Pelodiscus sinensis: one gene and its partner. The protein of the gene in region 2 interacts with the protein of the main gene of each other region in a pairwise test. Links are inferred from orthologs where the notes say so. Each region holds a gene or a part of one and is shown on either strand. Other genes may lie near its edges. The genes, in order: CEBPE and CEBPG.

Region 1 (8,831 bases), on a different chromosome or scaffold from region 2:
AGGGGCGGGGCTATCCTGGAGGGTGGGCCTAACTTCATTGGGGGCGGGGCTAACGCCAAGGGGCGGGGCTATCCTGGGGGGTGGGCCTACTGTCATGGGGGCGGGGCTATCTCCAGCAGGGTGGGGCTACTCCCAGGGAGCAGGGTTAAGAGCGGGCAGGCTGGGCTGGCTGTGGGGCTGGGGCCCCATGCCAGGGGGCTGGACTGACCCCGGTGCTGTCTCTCCCCAGATGGCGGAGCGCCCCCTGCCCGCGCTTGGGCCGGCCCAGGAGATGCGCTGTGTCCTGCACTGGTTCTCCGGCTGGTCGCCCCCCCAGCGGCAGCGCTTCCTGCGGGACCTGCTGGCCAAGGCCGTGCCTGGGAAGCTGCGCCCCCTGCTGGAGGGGCTGGAGGGGCTGAGTCTCTCCGGGGCGCCCCCCTCCCTCTTCCAGTGCCAGCTGCGCCTCTGGGACCAGTGGTTCCGGGGCTGGAGCGAGCCGGAGCGGAACCACTTTCTGGACCAGCTGGAGCAGGCCGAGCCGGCCTTCACCGCCCTCTTCTACCGCCAGCTGGCGGGCACCGCTGGGCAGGAGTAAGGGGCCCATGGCCTCGCACCCAGAGAATCTCTCCCCGGCCACGTTGCTCTGGAGTGGTTTACGTAGGGCCTACAGTAAGGTGAGCTGTGTACACTGCACCTCCAATGTTACCGCGGGAGCATGGCAGCTCCGGGAATGCCCCTCCCCTCGTGCGGCAGGACGAGCCTTGATTTCATCAAGAGGACTTCTGTTTATGTGGGACCTACAGTAAGTCGGGAGCTGTGGGGAAGGCACATGGACCTCCTGAAAATCCCTTCCCGCCACTGTCATGGGAGGAACTGTGCTGTCATCCGCTGATTGCTATTGTTGTAGGACCTACAGTAAGTGAGTCTGTTTGCCTGTGATCTACGTGCTATTGCATCAGCCAGCCAGGAGCCTCCATGCGACTTGCCAGTGCGGCCTGTGTTGACATAGACCCTACAACAACACTTTCTCTGCCCCACCGCTGGGGGCGATGCCAGCGGCTGTTTCTTCGTGGGGACTTGTTTCCGTAGGACCTACAGGCCTGGAGCAGCCTGCAGGGACACTGGGGAGTGGGCAGGGAGGCGTTGTTTATAAACAGTGAGTGGGTGGAGCGCCCCCGTGTGGTCTGTTCCCAGCGCTGCCGGGGGGCTGCCGAGGTGGAGAGGAAGCTGGTGAAGGAGGCAGGGGTTGGAGAGGTGCGGGGTGAAGACGGGCTGGGGGAGGGGTGCAGAGGGGCGAGGGAAGGGGGCTGCAGAGGTGTGGGGGGAGGATCTCCCCAGCTCCGCCCTGCGGGTGACGACAGCCAGGCCGGGAGTTTCGCAAACACCCCATGGAAACCCCCAGTGCAGGGGCCGCGGGGTAACGGCCGCTTTCACAATTCCGAGTAATCTCCCTGGCAGAGAGAAGGGGGGCAGGACCTTACCCCACACGGGGGGAGGGAGTAGGGGGAACGCTCCACCCCGGGGGGGACACGGCCCCTCTGCCCTGCCCCCAAGGAAGGTCCGGAGGTTGAGACACCAACCACGGGCTGAACCAACCTGCATTGCACAACCCCCCTTGGCCGGGGGAGGGGAGAGCGGGCCAGGGCCTGGGACCGGGCCAGCTGTGGGGGCCTGGGCGAGGCAGCCTGTGAGCCGGGGCACATCCCTCCCCCAGGATCCCAGTGCTAGTGTAGCCAGACGGGGGCAGCTCCCCCCAGTCCTGCTTCTAGCCCCGCTGCCTCCCTGCCTCAGTTTCCCGTTTCCTCAGCCCTCCTCCCCCCACAGATCACCAGGGCCCGAGCGTCTCAGCATGTTTATTGGCCGCCCCCTCCGCAGCCTCCCAGCCCCTTGCCCAGAGCTGCGGCCTCGGGCACCTGGCGGAACAGGGCCCGGAGCGTGTCCAGCTCCTGGCTGAGCTGCGCCACCCGGCTCTGCAGCCGCTCGTTCTCCGCCGCCAGCTCCAGCACCCGCTGCTGCGTCTCCAGCACCCGCCGCTTGGCCTTGTCCCGGCTCTTGCGCACGGCGATGTTGTTCCGCTCCCGCCGCAGGCGGTACTCCAGGCTGTCCTTGTTCACCGCCTTCTTGCCCTTGGGGGGGCCCGGCGAGGCCAGCAGGGGGCTGCAGGAGGGGCCCTGGCGAGAGAAACCGGGCCCAGTGGGCTGCAGGTGGTGCTGGGGGGCACTGGTCAGGAGTGAAGGTCAGTGCAGGATGGGAAGGGCACTGGGGGGAGCACTGAGGGTCACTTCAGGACGCCATTATGGGCTGTGGGTGCAGAGGTGCCGTGGGGGCTGTGGGTGGGGCACAGGGGGCACCGTGGGGAGCTGCAGGTCAGGAGTGAGGGAGATGGGGGGCTGTGGGGGTCACTTCAGGGCAGGAGGGGGGCTGCAGGGCAGGAGTGAGGGGGATGGGGGGCTGTGGGGGTCACTTCAGGGCGGGAGGGGACAGTAGGGTAGGAGTGAGGGGGATGGGGGGGCTGTGGGGGTGACTTCGGGACAGGAGGGGGGGCTGCAGGGCAGGAGTGAGGGGGATGGGGGGCTGTGGGGGTCACTTCAGGGAGGGGGGGGCTGCAGGGCAGGAGTGAGGGGGATGGGGGGCTGTGGGGGTCACTTCAGGGAGGGGGGGGCTGCAGGGCAGGAGTGAGAGCGCCTTACCTTGAGCGTGCGCAGGGCCGGCGCGGTGCCCCCCGGGGGCAGGCTGACGGCCGTCTGCCCACAGTGCGCCACCTGGAAGGGCAGGGGGTTGTAGCCGCCACGGCGTCCGGGCTCAGCCCCCCGTGGCTCCTCCTTCACCAGGGCGCCGTAGCCCTTGTGGGGCCCCCCATAGCCCCAGGGCTCCCCCTGCAGGTAGCCTGGGAAGGGGGTGCTCTTCTGCGCCCGCTGAGGGGGGCCCTGCAGAAGCTCCGACAGCAGCTGCTCGTCGCCGATGTAGGCAGCCAGGTCGATGGAGCCCTCGTGTTCCCCGAGCGCCCCCAGCTCGGCCACCATGGGACGTGGGGGGGCCCGCTCGCAATCATAGAACCCCCCCTGCGACATGGACGCTTTCTTTCCTTCCGCTCGCCGCCGGCTCGCGCCTCCGCCGCTCTCCCCGCCGCTCGCCACCGGCTCGCGCCTCCGCCGCTCTCCCGCCGCTCGCCACCGGCTCGCGCCTCCGCCGCTCTCCCGCCGCTCTCCTGCCGCTCGCCGCCGGCTCGCGCCTCCGCCGCTCTCCCGCCGCTCGCCACCGGCTCGCGCCTCCACCGCTCTCCCGCCGCTCTCCCGCCGCTCGCCACCGGCTCGCGCCTCCGCCGCTCTCCTGCCACTTGCCGCTTGCCCTTTGCCTTCAGTCACTTTGTCATTCTCTTATTCTTTCTCTTGTTCCTTCCTGGACCTGCTGGTTGTTCTCACTTCTCTTCCTCTTTTTCACGCTGATTCGTTCCTTCGTTTCTTTCTTTCCATCGGCCACTTTCTCCTTCGTTCTCTCTGCCCGCTCCTCGCTTGCTTGGGTTTTCTTTCTCCCTGCGTCGGATTTCCTTTCCCTCCGTTCTCTCTCGTTCCTTCTCTCTCTCCTTGTCGGCTCTTTCCTCGCTCCGTCTGTCCCTACTTCATCGGCCTCTCGCCGTCCCTTCTCGCACTCAGCCCCTGTCTGCCTTGCTCCCTGGCTTCTCTTCCTCCCTCTGCCTCCTTCTCTCTCTCTGTCTCTCACGTTCCCCCCGTCCCCCCGCCCCCCTTTTCCTTCCTCTTTCCGATGGACTCCCAGCTCCCCCTGCTGATGACACCAGGGGACCCCACCCTGCCCCCCCAAGGGTCTGAGGGGATGGCATTGGGTGTCTGTCCCCAACATCCAGGGGAGCCCTGTGGGGCCTACCCCAGAAATGGGGTAACCTTTCCCTTTGCAGCCCCCTTTTCAAAGCACACCCCAATTTCACTTCTCACAGCCCTGCCCCATAAGCCGTTCCCGCAGACTCCACCCACAGCTCGCCCAGCCCAACTGGTTCCCCTCGTTCCCCACCAGCAGCCCCTGCCTGCCCAATCCTGCCCCCCTAGCTCCGGGAGCACCCCACACACCTGACCCACAGCCCCTGCCATTCCAGCTGCCCCCAGCTCACTGCTGACTCCCAGTCGGCAGCCCCCTCCCAGCCCAGCCCCCCACATCCTGCAACCCAGAGGGCAAGACCCACCTCTGGCCACAAGGTGGCACCATTCCATGAAGGAGCGGTAGGGAGGAGCTAGGGGCTGCTGGCAGGGGCGTGCGGAATGGGGCCGGGATGGCAGGGGGTCCCCGCCTGGCCTTACAGCAGGGAGAGCGGGAAGGTGCTAGCTGGGCGGGGTCCCAGCAGGAGTCACTGGGGGGATCTGGCCGGGTCCCCGCAAGGGGGGCTGTGGGCAGCCCCCGCTCTCACCCTCCCCAGCCCCCAGGCAGGCTCCACATGGCGAGGTCACTTTAATTTATTACATCAAAAACCAGAGACAAACAATGGAAAAGGCCACAAAGTCGGGGCCCGGCTGTCGGGGCCAGAGAACGGTTAAGGCATCTGCCCCTGCCAGGGCGCGCCTCTGCCAGCGGGGGGCGCTGGGGGAGGGGGGCAGAGAGGGGTCTGGGGGAGCAGAGCCAGAGGCAAGGTGGGCACCATGGGGCACAGTCCATGGCAGGGTGAGGGGCTCAGTCGTGGGGCCGATCAGGGTCCCCGGCGTGGCACATGGGCTCCAGCTGCTCGGTGCACTCGGGGTCGGGGGACTCCATCTCGGGGTACACCACCCCACACATCTTCTGGGTCACTCGCGTCACTGCCGCTGGGGGAGACGGGGGTTAGAGAACGGGGGCGTGGCCCTTCCGCCGCCCTCCAGACAGACGCTCCCTTCCCCACCCCTAGCCAGCTGGGGGAGACGGGGGGTTAGAGAACGGGGGGCGTGGCCCTTCCGCCACCCTCCAGACAGACGCTCCCTTCCCCACCCCTAGCCAGCTGGGGGAGACGGGGGGTTAGAGAACGGGGGGCGTGGCCCTTCCGCCGCCCTCCAGACAGACGCTCCCTTCCCCACCCCTAGCCAGCTGGGGGAGACGGGGGGTTAGAGAACGGGGGGCGTGGCCCTTCCGCCGCCCTCCAGACAGACGCTCCCTTCCCCACCCCTAGCCAGCTGGGGGAGACGGGGGGTTAGAGAACGGGGGGTGTGGCCCTTCCGCCGCCCTCCAGACAGACGCTCCCTTCCCCACCCCTAGCCAGCTGGGGGAGACGGGGGGTTAGAGAACGGGGGGTGTGGCCCTTCTGCCGCCCTCCAGACAGACGCTCCCTTCCCCACCCCTAGCCAGCTGGGGGAGACGGGGGTTAGAGAACGGGGGGCGTGGCCCTTCCGCCGCCCTCCAGACAGACGCTCCCTTCCCCACCCCTAGCCAGCTGGGGGAGACGGGGGGTTAGAGAACGGGGGCATGGCCCTTCCGCCGCCCTCCAGACAGACGCTCCCTTCCCCACCCCTAGCCAGCTGGGGGAGACGGGGGGGTTAGAGAACGGGGGGCGTGGCCCTTCCGCCGCCCTCCAGACAGACGCTCCCTTCCCCACCCCTAGCCAGCTGGGGGAGACGGGGGGTTAGAGAACGGGGGGCGTGGCCCTTCCGCCGCCCTCCAGACAGACGCTCCCTTCCCCACCCCTAGCCAGCTGTCCCTCTTCCCCCTCCCGTCCCTACCCTGTGCCTGGCCGGCTGTCCCCCCAAGCCCTGTGCCCCTGCCCCCCGGCCAGCCCACTTACCCAGGCAGGTGTAGACGGCAGGTGGCTTGCGGCGCCAGGCCACACCCAGCCCGTAGACGGGCACCCCGGTGAGCATGATGGCCAGCCCCACGCCGCACACCACCGGCTCCGACCACAGGCTGAAGATGAGCAGGAAGGCCCAGAAGAGCAGGTAGATCACGGGGAAGAACAGGCTGACCTGTGGGGACAGGGGGCTTAGCGGGGGCAGGAGGCGCAGTGGGAGGGGCACCCAGGGCGGGTCTCACCTTGATCAGGCGGGAGGGCAGGGGGGCTCACTTGGATGGCGTGGGGGGAGGGCCATGGGACGTGGCGGGCTGCGGGGGGGTGGCTCACCTGGATGGGCTGGGCCGTGGCAGAGCCAGTGCGGGCGGGAGGGCCGTGGGGGGGCTCACCTGGATGGGGCAGGCCACAGGGGGAGGGGGGCTTACCCTGATGGGATGGGTCAGGCGGGGGGAGGGGGGCTCATCTTGAAAGGGCAGACCAGGCGGGGGAGTGGGTTCACCGGTATGGTGTGGGCTGCCGGAGGGGGGGCAGGGGTCACCTGGATGGGGCAGGCCAGTGCGGGGCAGAGGGCCGGGAAGGGCTCACCCTGATGGGACGGGATGAGGGAGCGGGCTCACCTTGATGGGGCGGGCCAGGTGGAGGGGTGGGAGCTCACTGTGACGGGACGGGACGAGGGGGGGTGGGGCTCACCTTGATGGGGCGGGCCAGGCGGGGGGGTGGGAGCTCACTGTGACGGGACGGGACGAGGGGGGCTCACTGTGACGGGAGGTGGGGGGCGGGGCTCACCTTGATGGGGCGGGCCAGGCGGGGGGGGCGTGACCTCACTGTGACGGGACGGGACGAGGGGGGGCTCACTGTGACGGGAGGTGGGGGCAGGGCTCACCTTGATGGGGCGGGCCAGGCGGGGGGGGCGTGACCTCACTGTGATGCGATGGGACAAGGGGCGGGGCTCACCTTGATGGGGCGGGCCAGGCGGGGGGGGGGCGTGACCTCACTGTGACGGGACGGGACGAGGGGGGGCTCACTGTGACGGGAGGTGGGGGCGGGGCTCACCTTGATGGGGCGGGCCAGGCGGGGGGGGCGTGACCTCACTGGGACGGGACGGGGGGGGCTCACTGTGACGGGAGGTGGGGGCGGGGCTCACCTTGATGGGGCGGGCCAGGCGGGGGGGCGTGACCTCACTGTGATGCGATGGGACAAGGGGCGGGGCTCACCTTGATGGTGCGGGCCAGACGGGGGGGGCGTGAACTCAGTGGGACGGGACGAGGGGGGGCTCACTGTGACGGGAGGCGGGGGCGGGGCTCACCTTGATGGGGCGGGCCAGACGGGGGGGGCGTGAACTCACTGGGACGGGACGGGACGAGGGGGGGCTCACTGTGACGGGAGGCGGGGGCGGGGCTCACCTTGATGGGGCGGGCCAGACGGGGGGGGCGTGAACTCACTGGGACGGGACGGGACGAGGGGGGGCTCACTGTGACGGGAGGCGGGGGCGGGGCTCACCTTGATGGGGCGGGCCAGACGGGGGGGGCGTGAACTCAGTGGGACGGGACGAGGGGGGGCTCACCGTGACGGGAGGCGGGGGCGGGGCTCACCTTGATGGGGCGGGCCAGACGGGGGGGGGCGTGAACTCAGTGGGACGGGACGAGGGGGGGCTCACCGTGACGGGAGGCGGGGGCGGGGCTCACCTTGATGGGGCGGGCCAGACGGGGGGGGGCGTGAACTCAGTGGGACGGGACGAGGGGGGGCTCACCGTGACGGGAGGCGGGGGCGGGGCTCACCTTGATGGGGCGGGCCAGACGGGGGGGCGTGAACTCACTGGGACGGGACGGGACGAGGGGGGGCTCACTGTGACGGGAGGCGGGGGCAGGGCTCACCTTGATGGGGCGGGCCAGACGGGGGGGCGTGAACTCACTGGGACGGGACGAGGGGGGCTCACCGTGACGGGAGGCGGGGGCGGGGCTCACCTTGATGGGGCGGGCCAGGCGGGGGGGCGTGACCTCACTGTGATGCGATGGGACAAGGGGCGGGGCTCACCTTGATGGTGTGGGCCAGACGGGGGGGGGCGTGAACTCAGTGGGACGGGACGAGGGGGGGCTCACCGTGACGGGAGGCGGGGGCGGGGCTCACCTTGATGGTGTGGGCCAGACGGGGGGGGGCGTGAACTCAGTGGGACGGGACGGGACGAGGGGGGGCTCACTGTGACGGGAGGCGGGGGCGGGGCTCACCTTGATGGGGCGGGCCAGATGGGGGGGGCGTGAACTCACTGGGACGGGACGAGGGGGGGCTCACCGTGACGGGAGGCGGGGGCGGGGCTCACCTTGATGGGGCGGGCCAGACGGGGAGGCCGTGAACTCACTGGGACGGGACGGGACGAGGGGGGGCTCACTGTGACGGGAGGCGGGGGCGGGGCTCACCTTGATGGGACGGGACGGGACGGGGGGGGCTCACCGGGACGGGAGGCGGGGGCGGGGCTCACCTTGATGGGGCGGGCCAGACGGGGGGGGCGTGAACTCACTGGGACGGGACGAGGGGGGCTCACCGTGACGGGAGGCGGGGGCGGGGCTCACCTTGATGGGGCGCACCATGTCCGGCTGCCGCCAGCGCAGCACGATCTGCCCGGCCACGGTGACCCCGTAGAACAGGTAGTTGATGAAGCCCACGTAGTTGATGAGGGTGTAGATGTCGCTGGTCACCAGCATGAGCAGGGTGGACAGGCACTGTGGAGAGGGGAGGCCGTGGGGGCGGGGCCATTCCGAAATCCCACCCCTTGTCAGTGCATAAGCCCCGCCCCTGCCCCATTCTCCAAGCTTCACCCCCTGCCTGAAATCCCGCCCCCAGCAGGCACCAGTGACTCACGGTGAAGACCAGAGCGGGGATGGGGGTGCAGCGCTGCATATGGATCATGGCCAGCACGCTGGGGAGGTGGCCCTCACGGGCTCCTGCGAAGAACAGCCTGCGGGGGAGGGGAGAAGTAGGTGTGGGGCTGGAAGGGGGAGGGTCTGGGCTTGTCAGGCATGGCTGTGGGTGGGGGGAGAGCAGAGCAGGCCTGGGGTCAGTGGGCGTGGCCATCTGTGCCATCAGTAGGGTTCAGGGT
Region 2 (9,470 bases):
TAAACAGAGCTAGGCCTCTCATATTTCATTACTATTTGTATACCTACTTTGTTCAAGTTGTTGTTCTGATCCACCAAGAAGTTTTTTCAGCTGACTGAAGATTTACCCCTAAAACCTGAATGCTGTTTAATATCAGGTGTATATGAATCAGAAAAAATTCTTTATTAAAATACTCCCCATGACAAATACTATGAATACCCTAGTAATTATGGGTGGGGATTTTCATGCAGTGGCTGATCACTTCTTGGAAAACAGCCATGGCCCTATGCATTGAAATACTAAGCGATCTCAATCCTTGCAGCCTCATTTGTGCTTTTGGGAAAATAGGACAGGTGTGGCAGTTACTAAACCTGGGTACTTGAGAATTCACCTTTTATTCCCAGGTGCATGCCACTTATTCTCATTCAGACTTGCTTTGGGTTTAATGAGTCCCATTTAAATCTAGTGCATCTGTGATACATTGTATTTTTCTTTCAGTCTGTGCACCTACTTCTTTTTTTCCCATATATAGCTCCTCAGCCTCACCTCTCTGTCACATTGTAGTGATGGGAGCATGACTGATGGCGGTGAGAAGCCTATTATTTGTCCCTGGTCACTTGAAAAAAAAACACCTTTTCATTTGCGTTAGATAACTAAAAAGCCTTATATCAAGCATAGTGCACACTATAAATACTGAGGTAAGATTAGCTAGTGCTTGGACTGCTTGGTCCACTGAAGTAAACAGCAAAACTGCCAATGTTTTTACTAGGAGCAGATTTGGGCTGCTAGTGATCTAAGGCAAACCTGAAAAGAGTGTAAAGGCAGGCACCGCTTGCTATTCTGTTTAAAATCTTGCTAGAACATGATTTACCTTCTCTTTAGATAAGGCTGGCTCAGAGCAGTCTAGAAATGTAGGGATACAGAAGAACTTTTGCTCTTGACTTCACTGGAGGGAGTAATAGCTCAGTGGTTTGAGAATTGGCCTGTTAAACCCCAGATTATGAGCTCAGCCCTTGGGGAGCATTTAGGGATCTGGGGCAATTCTGTCAGGGATGGTACTCGTGAGGGTAGGGGACTGGCTGACCTCTCAAGGTCCCTTCCAGCTCTATAAGATAGGTATATCTCTGTAAGTAAACTTGATTCAAACTTTTCAAAGCTGAGTGCCTCAAATTAGACTACTGTATCAATATTCAGCCTTTTAAAATATAAATTACCTGATGTTCATAGGTGTTGAGTATCTATGGCTTCTTTTGATGTCAGTGGGAGTTATGGGTGGTCAGCACTCTTGAAAAAATTGAGCCATTTAGACACACAAAGTTAACTTTTTGTCTCATATATAATAAAGTTCAAAAATAATATCAAAATCACATGTGACCTAACTTCACAGAGGGACATGATTTAATTCTTGTCTAATTCAAGAAAGTGTATGTTATATGCATCTTGTGATCTGGCATTAGCATTCTATTTATGAAAATGCCAGCACGAAAGTAAAACTTTAAACAGAAATATGCAAGTCAAATTGCTAAATGCAGACTGATTAGATCTGAAAATGTAAGGAAAAGTAAAGGCACATTCTGTTTTTATTTATGAACACAAACATTTGCAGAAGATAGTACAAATAATAAACATAAAACCAAGATCATGCAAATATCACAGTTATTAAAATAAGGACAATATCGTTTTCAAATGCCATGTGATAGGTAGTTGTGAACCATCTTAAAAGAGTTTGTAAGGTTTAAAGGAGAATATGCCTCTTTAAGTAATGACAGCTGCACTTTAGAATATATATATAGATATAGATATATAGACACACAACAGGGTACATCTAGACTACATGCCTCTGACGACAGAGGCATGTAGATTAGACTACCCGGCATAGGAAAATGAAGCAGCGATTTAAATAATCGCCGCTTCATTTAAATTTACATGGCTGCTGCGCTGAGCCGATCAGCTGTTTGTCGGCTCAGCGCGGTAGTCTGGACATTCCGCGGTCGACATCAAAGGTATTTGTCGACCTCCCAGGTATGCCTCCTGCAGGCTGCCATCCGGGAGGTCCATCGGGGGCTGTCAGTATCCAGGAGGTCCTGCGGGAGAGCTTCCACCCTGAGGAGCGCTAAGAGTCTCCCTGGTGTGCCCCACTGGGAGCTTGTGCCTTATTCCTCTCTCATGTCCTTCCACTTACCCTTCCCTAACCCACCTTCCTGATGTCAAATAAAATACACGTATTTTCATGAACACTAACTTTCTTTATTTAACAAAACTGGGGGGAGGGGGAATGAAACTCTGGTGAGACTGGGGAAAGGAGGCGGGAGAGGGGAGGGGGAAACCTGGGAGGAGGGAGCTGGAAGGGGGAAGCAAGAGGAAGAAGGGGGAGGGGAAGCTCAGGGCTCGGGGTTGGGAGTCTTGCCGGACCAACTTGATTGTCATGCAAACCTGCTCCTGGGTTTGCATGTGGCCAGGCTGGCAGCTATCCTGCCATAGACGGCTATGTTCCTCTGCCTACTGCGGAGATCATTGATGTTGGGGGAATCACCCCCAAATCTGAATAAGGTCCATGATCTCCACCCTGGACCAGGAAGGTGCCTGCCTTCTCCGGGCCCTGGCAGGCTCCTGGGAGCTGGCAGACTGCTCCTGGGGAGTGGTGGAGGGCTGGCTGCCAGTGGCTTGGGGCCACTGGGTCAGGAACAGTGACTGCTGGCTCTGGGCTGGCAGGCTTGGAGCTGGCACAGGCACTGTGGCCAGAGTCAACCCCTTTAAGGGCTCTGGGGAGGAGGGCGGGAGAGGAGTGTTCTTGGTTGAGGCTGGAGTGGCCACCAGGGCACCCTAGGAAGGCTGGAGGCCCCCTATTTCGATATGAGCACTTATTTCGAAATATCTATTTTGAATTTGACGTTATTCCTCGTGGAATGAGGTTTACCAAATTCGAAATAAGCGCTCTGCTATTTCAAATTAATTTTGAAATAGCGGTTTGTAGATGCTAGTAAAATTATTTTGAAATAATGGCTGTTATTTCAAAATAACTTTGCTGTGTAAACATACCCTAAGGCACTTGAGGTCCCAGAAATACACAGGTTATTTAAGTGTTACTAGAGCCTGGCTAATGTTTCGTATTTACCTTGATTTTTTGTTTATGCAGTTGGTGTAATATAAGTTAACCTCTAGTGAATAGCTGCAGGCTGCTGTACCACCAAAAAAATCAAGCAGTTTCAACTGGGAAAGAACAAAATTAATGCTGAAGATGTTAAAACAAATATTTGATGATTGATGAGGAAATAATCCCAGACTAATCCTGGGAATTCCTCCTCAAGATATATTTTATTTTTACAGGGTTTATAAAAGGCACATAAGATCAGAAGCCCACTTTTTATTCGCCATGCAGATAAGTACATATTTTTACATGTGCATTTCAGGGTATTTGTGTTGTATCTCGGGAGTTTAAAATTGTTATCCATAAAGCCCCCACACACACAGTGCTTGAGACTTTGGATGTGCGTGTGAGAAAATTTGTTAATCCAATAGTCCTATGCGCTCAACCTGCGATTGCGTGTCTTACTGTGTGTGTCTGTGTGGGTGGGTGGCAGGGCTAAAAACTGTTACACAAATGTTCTCTGTCCACCCTACCACACTGCCTGGCTTTGGAGGAGAGGGTAAAAGTTCTTACCACAATAGACCCCATCCTACTTGTTGAGATTGGGGTGGTGGTTAAATAGAAATTTTACTGCTTTGGTAGGAACATGAGTAAGAACTCCATCTTTATTTGACACTAATGGCTGTGTTAGAAAGAAGGACATTTCCAGAGAGGCCCTGGATGACTTGTTTTCACTTTCAGACCAAGAAGTTGAATCTACATTTGAGAAGTAACCAAGTTCCTCGCATAGAATATAAGAGGGAGCTCACCTGTTGCCCAGTTCAGAAGTGCAATAATATTAGCTTTGTTTACTCTCACTGTTGTCATTAAAATTTCTCCTGGCTGAAGCTAGACTGGTTTGCTTTCAGGAAAGCAGTGTGGCAGATATGGGTGTAGGCAGACATGTCATGTCAGCAAAACATACAAGTCATATGCTTTGGGGGGGAATGTAATGTATTTTGTTTTACATTGACTGGGATGTTCTCCAGGCCTTTAATTAACACCTTATAATGTATTTATCTAATACATTATAATTAGATAATACTAATTATAATACTGGGAGATCATTGGAGATATTGCAGGAAGGGTTCAACAAAGAAACAAGGATGCAATATCAGTGAGAATGTCCAGTACTTATACTTTTGGTTGCTAAAAATTACTACAAATTCCTGAATTTCAAAGATTGCCAATAAGAGTTCTTGTGCCTAGATGTCACCAAAATACAGAAAGACAAAGGTGAATAAGATCAGAACCTAAAATGAACTGTAGAGACAGCCACAGAAGGTTCTTCAAGAAATGAGGGTTGTTGGCTTTCCCCTTTTTTCGTTTTGTTTCTGTTTCTTTTGTTTTTTTATGGTACATGGCTTTTTTGGTCCAGTTTGTTATAGAGACATAACTTGTTTGTAAAGCTAGAGCATTTTTCCTCTGAGTATCTTCTAGGCACCTACTCTCATGCCAGCTGGAACCAGAGGTACAAGGGGTAGGGGGGTGTGCTCCCAGCTTGAAGTGATTTCCATTATGTGCAGGGTATACAGTTTGGTTGAATGGCTCTCAGGACCCCCACTGTAAAATTTGTTTCAGCACCCCTGCCCACTCTTGCCCCCATCTCAGTCAGTGTATGTCTACACTACAGAGTTTTGTCGGGAAAACGGCTGTTTTTCCGACAAAACTTGAGTAACATCCACACTGCAATTGCGTTCTTTCGAAAGTAAATCAAAAGAAGAAAAGTTTTTTTCTAACCTTGGTAATCCTCATTCTATGAGGAAGAAGCCTTTTTCCGAAAGAGCTCTTTTGGAAAAAAGCGTGTGTGGATGGGGTAGAGGGAGGTCTTTTGGAGGAAGAGGAAAATGCACAGGTGCCCTGGTGGCCACTCCTCCCATAGTAATCACAGCTTAACTGTGAGATAGTGTCTATTAAGTGGGGATGCTATCTTTTGAAAAAGCAGGTAGCTTTTTCCATGTGCTTTTGCTGTGTAGATGCTCTATTTCAGAAGTTTTTTCAGAAGATCTCTGCCTGCAGTCTAGACATAGCCTCAGTGTCTGTTGGGGGAAGAGGGAAGAGGTGGGTGGGGTTCTGGTGGTAACAGGTTTCCCCCAAATCCCAGGCAGTGTGTGTGTGTGTGTGTGTGTGTGTGTGTGAGTGTGTGTGTGGGCGGGGCTATGGCGGTAACACGTTTTCCCCAATCCCAGCCAGTAGGAGGAGGCTATTGGAATAATTGGTTTACCAGCCCCCCCCCCCTCCCCGGCCGTGGGGGACGCTACTGGGGTAACAGCGCTGCCCATGCTCTGGTCGGGATGGGGGCGCGGGGGGAAGGAGGGAGGGTGGGAGCAGCGCCCAGCCCCTGGGGGATTTACCAGCCCACAAAAACAGCGCTTCTCGCTTTAAGAGAGCAGCGGGGGTGTCCGATTGGCTGAGGGGACTGCCAATCGGCGCGGCCATTGCATCATCCCTGCGGCAGGCCGGCCGCTGATTGGCCAGGACGCTGGGCGAAGGAGAAGGGTTTCGCAATCGCCGCTCGCCTCACTCGCCAGTTTTAAAGAAAGAGACTCGGGCCCAGCCCGCGCCCCCCACCCCCGATCGATACCGCTCTCCATCCCTGGGCCAGGTGAGGCGCGAGGCCGCCCCGCCGCGCGCAGACCGACCCCCCCCCCCGCCCGTTCCGGCGCGGTATCCCCGGGGGCGGGGGGCTCACACCGGGCGCAGGCCGTAGCGGGGCGGCGCGGGAGCAGGCGGCAGTGGGGCTGCTGCAGGAGGACCATTGGGCAGTGGTGGGAGGCTACGGGGGTCTGGGGAGCGCTGGGTGCTGGCGGGGTCTGCAAGGGGAGGCGTGTGTGGGGTGGACATGGGGGGGGCTGGTCAGCGGGGAAGGGGTCAGTACGGGGTGGGGGTCTGGGCTGTGGGGAGTCTTGGGGGTGTAGCTACCGGGGGCGGGGTCTCTAGGAGTGGGTGGGGTGGGGAGGGGGGGTCTAGTCAGTGGGGGCGGGGTTTGTAGGGGCATGGCGTGGGGCTGGGAGGTGGGGGTGTGAGGGAGGGCTCTGCTCAGTGGGGGTGTCTGGGGTAGCGCGGGGGGGTGGTGGGAGAGGGGGCTGCTCGCTAGAGAGACGTTTGGGGAAGGGAGAGAGTGTATGGGGGGGGGGGGGGGGGAGGCCGGGACTTTCCTCACGGTTACGCTCGCGTGGAGAGCGTATGATGCAATCTCCAGGCAACTCTCCTCCCCGATGGGATGAAGTCATGCTTGGCACGGAGAGGGGAGCCCGGGGAGAGGGAGACAGGCCTCTGCTCCCCTAGTAGCCAGCCTGCTTCCTGGTGGGGGAGTGACAGGCCCTCCTCCCTGCCTAGTTCCCAGTGAGGCAGCAGTAAGGGCAGAGGGAGAGAGCTACAGCCACATACCCTCATGCTAAGAGAAGTGTAAATAGTGACCTAGAAATCAACAAGAGGATGATTGAGGCCTAGAGCACAAAATCGAATAACCGCTGCAGCAAGTTAATTTGTTTGCAAAATGTGTAGTTGCCGTACACAAGCTTTTATTGGGCCTTTTTGGAAATGGAAGATCCCGTCATTCAAAGACACCAGCAAGGTGGGCTAGGAGCACAGCATATTAATAAAAATATCTATTGTTCATATTTATGCACATCATGATGTATTAGCTACTGTATTAAGTGATTCCTTTATCTTTCTTTTAAGAGAGATCAAAATAGTTTCTGAAGAAGAATATAATCCTTGGTGTTTAGAATGAAGCCCTCTTCCTTTCCTGTTGGGTGCTGTGTTATACTGACTTCCTGGCGGAAACCAACATTGTAAACAGCACTGTTTAAAGTCAAACGGGAAGTAAACATAACTTTAAAAACAAACAGGAATTTTAAAAAAGTATCGTGTGTGAGGAAAAGGTACTTTTAAAAAATCCTTTATATTTGTAAGGTTTTCATAGTTTACAATGACAGAGCCTTGGAAGTTAAAGGTGAAGACCCATGGTTTTGTCAAAGGATTGGGAAACTTATGAAAAGGTTTTAGCGGGAACGTATGTATGGCTGTTTAGAAACGTATGTACTTCTGTATTTCAGCAAAGTTACCACCTAAGAACCCTGATCTGCAGACTCTTCAACATCACAAGTAACATGTAGAAAAGGGATGAAAATATATAGTTAGAATAGAGTAGTTCTTTTGAGTGACACTTTTACAGGGATTCTCTCATTGTAGCCACAAATTTAGATCATTGGAGGCTTTTCAAATGTTTTTGTAAATTTAAAAATATTACAAGTGGAAACGAAAGAGTTGATTAAAAAAAAGTCCCTTGTATTGTTTACAATCTGAACGTTGGTAACTTGAAAATGAAACTTACTATAAATGAAAAAATAAACTTACTGTTATCTGAGTCAGAGGAAAAGTTATAAATACTGAAAAGTAAATTAACTTTTAAGTTTACTAGGGGGCACAGATCCCTGCTCGCCAACCTCCCTCTCTGGGGGTAGGCAGCCCTGGCTCTCCCCCCCCAGGTGGGGGGAGGGGAAAGCAGGTTGGGCCAGGCTGAGGCTGCGGCTGACCCATCTCTCTCCCTCAGGCTATGAGGGATAATAATACTGACATCCTTTTTAAAGTCTTTTGACAGCCATGGATGAAAAGTACTGTGCAAGGGCTAAATATTGTAATTATAATTACTAGTCAGTAAAAGACAGGAATTCTCAAATGAACTCTTTATATTGGTATGGAGTTGCACATCACCTTCCTTTCCCATGTGAAAATTGACATATATGACTTTCTGGTGACTGAACTAAGCCAGTTAAGAAAAAACAGGGACACCACAATAAGGGAAACAGTCCTTCGTATAGACAGACTATAGCCCTGAAGATACACATTTGTCTTTACTCTTACAGCAGACATTAATAAGCTCAGTGTCTCATTTACAACCATCTGTGTTGATCTATTATCTGTGTGCAGGAGTCAGATAATCAATCTGTTGTGCTATGCCTAAACAATCAGGTCTTGTGTTAGTAACTGGTCATTTTATTCAAAAATGGTATTTTCCTTTAATCCAACATGAATAGAGATCAGTCCTGTTTTTGAACTGTCAGTACTTGTGAGTCTCCCCGAGGTGGTGGTGTGTGTTTTTTATACACAACTTGTGTTTGCAGGCTCAGTTGCCTCAGCTTGTTAGGTTCTCTTAATATCACTGTTACATACTTCACATGGCATGTATGCTGTTTGTACATACCTGGCACTTGGATGAAATCTGGTTTTCCTGGATTTCGCACACATGTACTATATATCCTGCCTCTTTTATGGGCACAACTGATTGTGATACTTATCTCTTACTTTCAGTTTTCATGTCCTGGGTTGGTTTATGAAGAATCTAGCGTATACAGGAGAGAAATTATGTATCTTCTTGTGAACAGAGTTTTGATTCTCTGGTTCTCAAACTGTGTCGGGACTAAGGATGTTAAGTGGTGGGTAATTCGCTAATTGTATAGTTGATAAAATTTAGTGGATAAGGGAAGAAGTGCTTAGTTCTGGCTTGTGCCAAGTCTGGGGGCTACCCCTCTGTGGTTCTGCAGTTTAAATGTAGGAAGAGCCAGGCTGCCCACCCACCCAGCTCTTACTACCTTTAAACTGCAGAGCCGCAGCAGTGGATAGTTCCCGGACCCAGCGTGAGCTGGGACTGAGCAAGTCTGGCTGAGTCCTGGTTCATGCCATGTCCAAGAGCTGCCCCTGCTGTAGCTCTGCATCTTAAATGTAGTAGGAGTTGGGTGGGCAGACAGCCTGGTTTCCACTATGTTTAAACTACAGAGCTGCAGTTGAGGTACTTCCTGGACACAGCGTGAGCTGGGACTGAGCTGGGCTCCCTGCCCAGCCGGAGCATCCCCTGTCCATAGTGGCCTATTCTGGCTGTGGGCAGAGGCTGTTCCAGCAGCAGCCCCTGTCAACAGGGTCCTAGCAGGAGGCAGCAGCATGGGAGGTGGCACCATGGAGGTGGTGCTGGGAGGGAGGAGGGGAATCGGCTTTTAAGTCGGCTCCTGCTTCCCTTCCCCCTGCTGCCTCCAATACAGAGGCAGTGGGGGCAGAGGGAATGTGAGTAGTCAACTACTCACTCACATCCCTAGTTGGGACTCCAGGCTGGGTCACAACCTGATTTTAATGGCGTTATCAGAGCTCACTTAAACTGCTGGGCCCAAGGCCAAAGCACAAGTCCCATCATCCTGGGGCTGAAGCAAAAGCCCCTGACTTTAGTTCTGGGTGGTAGGGCTCAGGTTACAGGCACCCTGATTTGAGCTAAAGCCCTTGCCCTTTGGCCCTCTTCCTGGGATGACAGGGCTTGGATGTGCTCATGCTTCTGGGTTTCTCCTGGGGTCATGTAGTAATTTTTGTTATC

The links.
Region 1: the proteins of CEBPG (region 2) and CEBPE interact in a two-hybrid assay, tested with the Homo sapiens proteins (2 studies listed by BioGRID and IntAct, with this or other methods). The link is inferred for Pelodiscus sinensis from reciprocal best matches to the Homo sapiens genes CEBPG and CEBPE.

The regions. Positions count from the first base shown.
Region 1 is NW_027465928.1:90,131-98,961, reverse strand, and holds CEBPE (CCAAT/enhancer-binding protein epsilon), read right to left. Parts: upstream 4,288-8,831; 5' UTR 3,051-4,287; coding exon 2,670-3,050; intron 2,151-2,669; coding exon 1,833-2,150; 3' UTR 1,818-1,832; downstream 1-1,817. Other genes in the region: CUNH14orf119 (uncharacterized protein C14orf119 homolog), read left to right, coding at 230-574; SLC7A8 (large neutral amino acids transporter small subunit 2), read right to left, coding at 4,657-4,787, 5,735-5,912, 8,305-8,454, 8,594-8,690. UniProt on the Homo sapiens protein: Transcriptional activator. C/EBP are DNA-binding proteins that recognize two different motifs: the CCAAT homology common to many promoters and the enhanced core homology common to many enhancers.
Region 2 is NC_134722.1:21,967,601-21,977,070, reverse strand, and holds the start of CEBPG (CCAAT/enhancer-binding protein gamma), read left to right. Parts: upstream 1-5,559; 5' UTR 5,560-5,711; intron 5,712-6,234; exon of another isoform or gene 6,235-6,683; intron 6,684-6,790; 5' UTR 6,791-6,993; intron 6,994-7,028; exon of another isoform or gene 7,029-8,547; intron 8,548-9,470. UniProt on the Homo sapiens protein: Transcription factor that binds to the promoter and the enhancer regions of target genes. Binds to the enhancer element PRE-I (positive regulatory element-I) of the IL-4 gene. Binds to the promoter and the enhancer of the immunoglobulin heavy chain.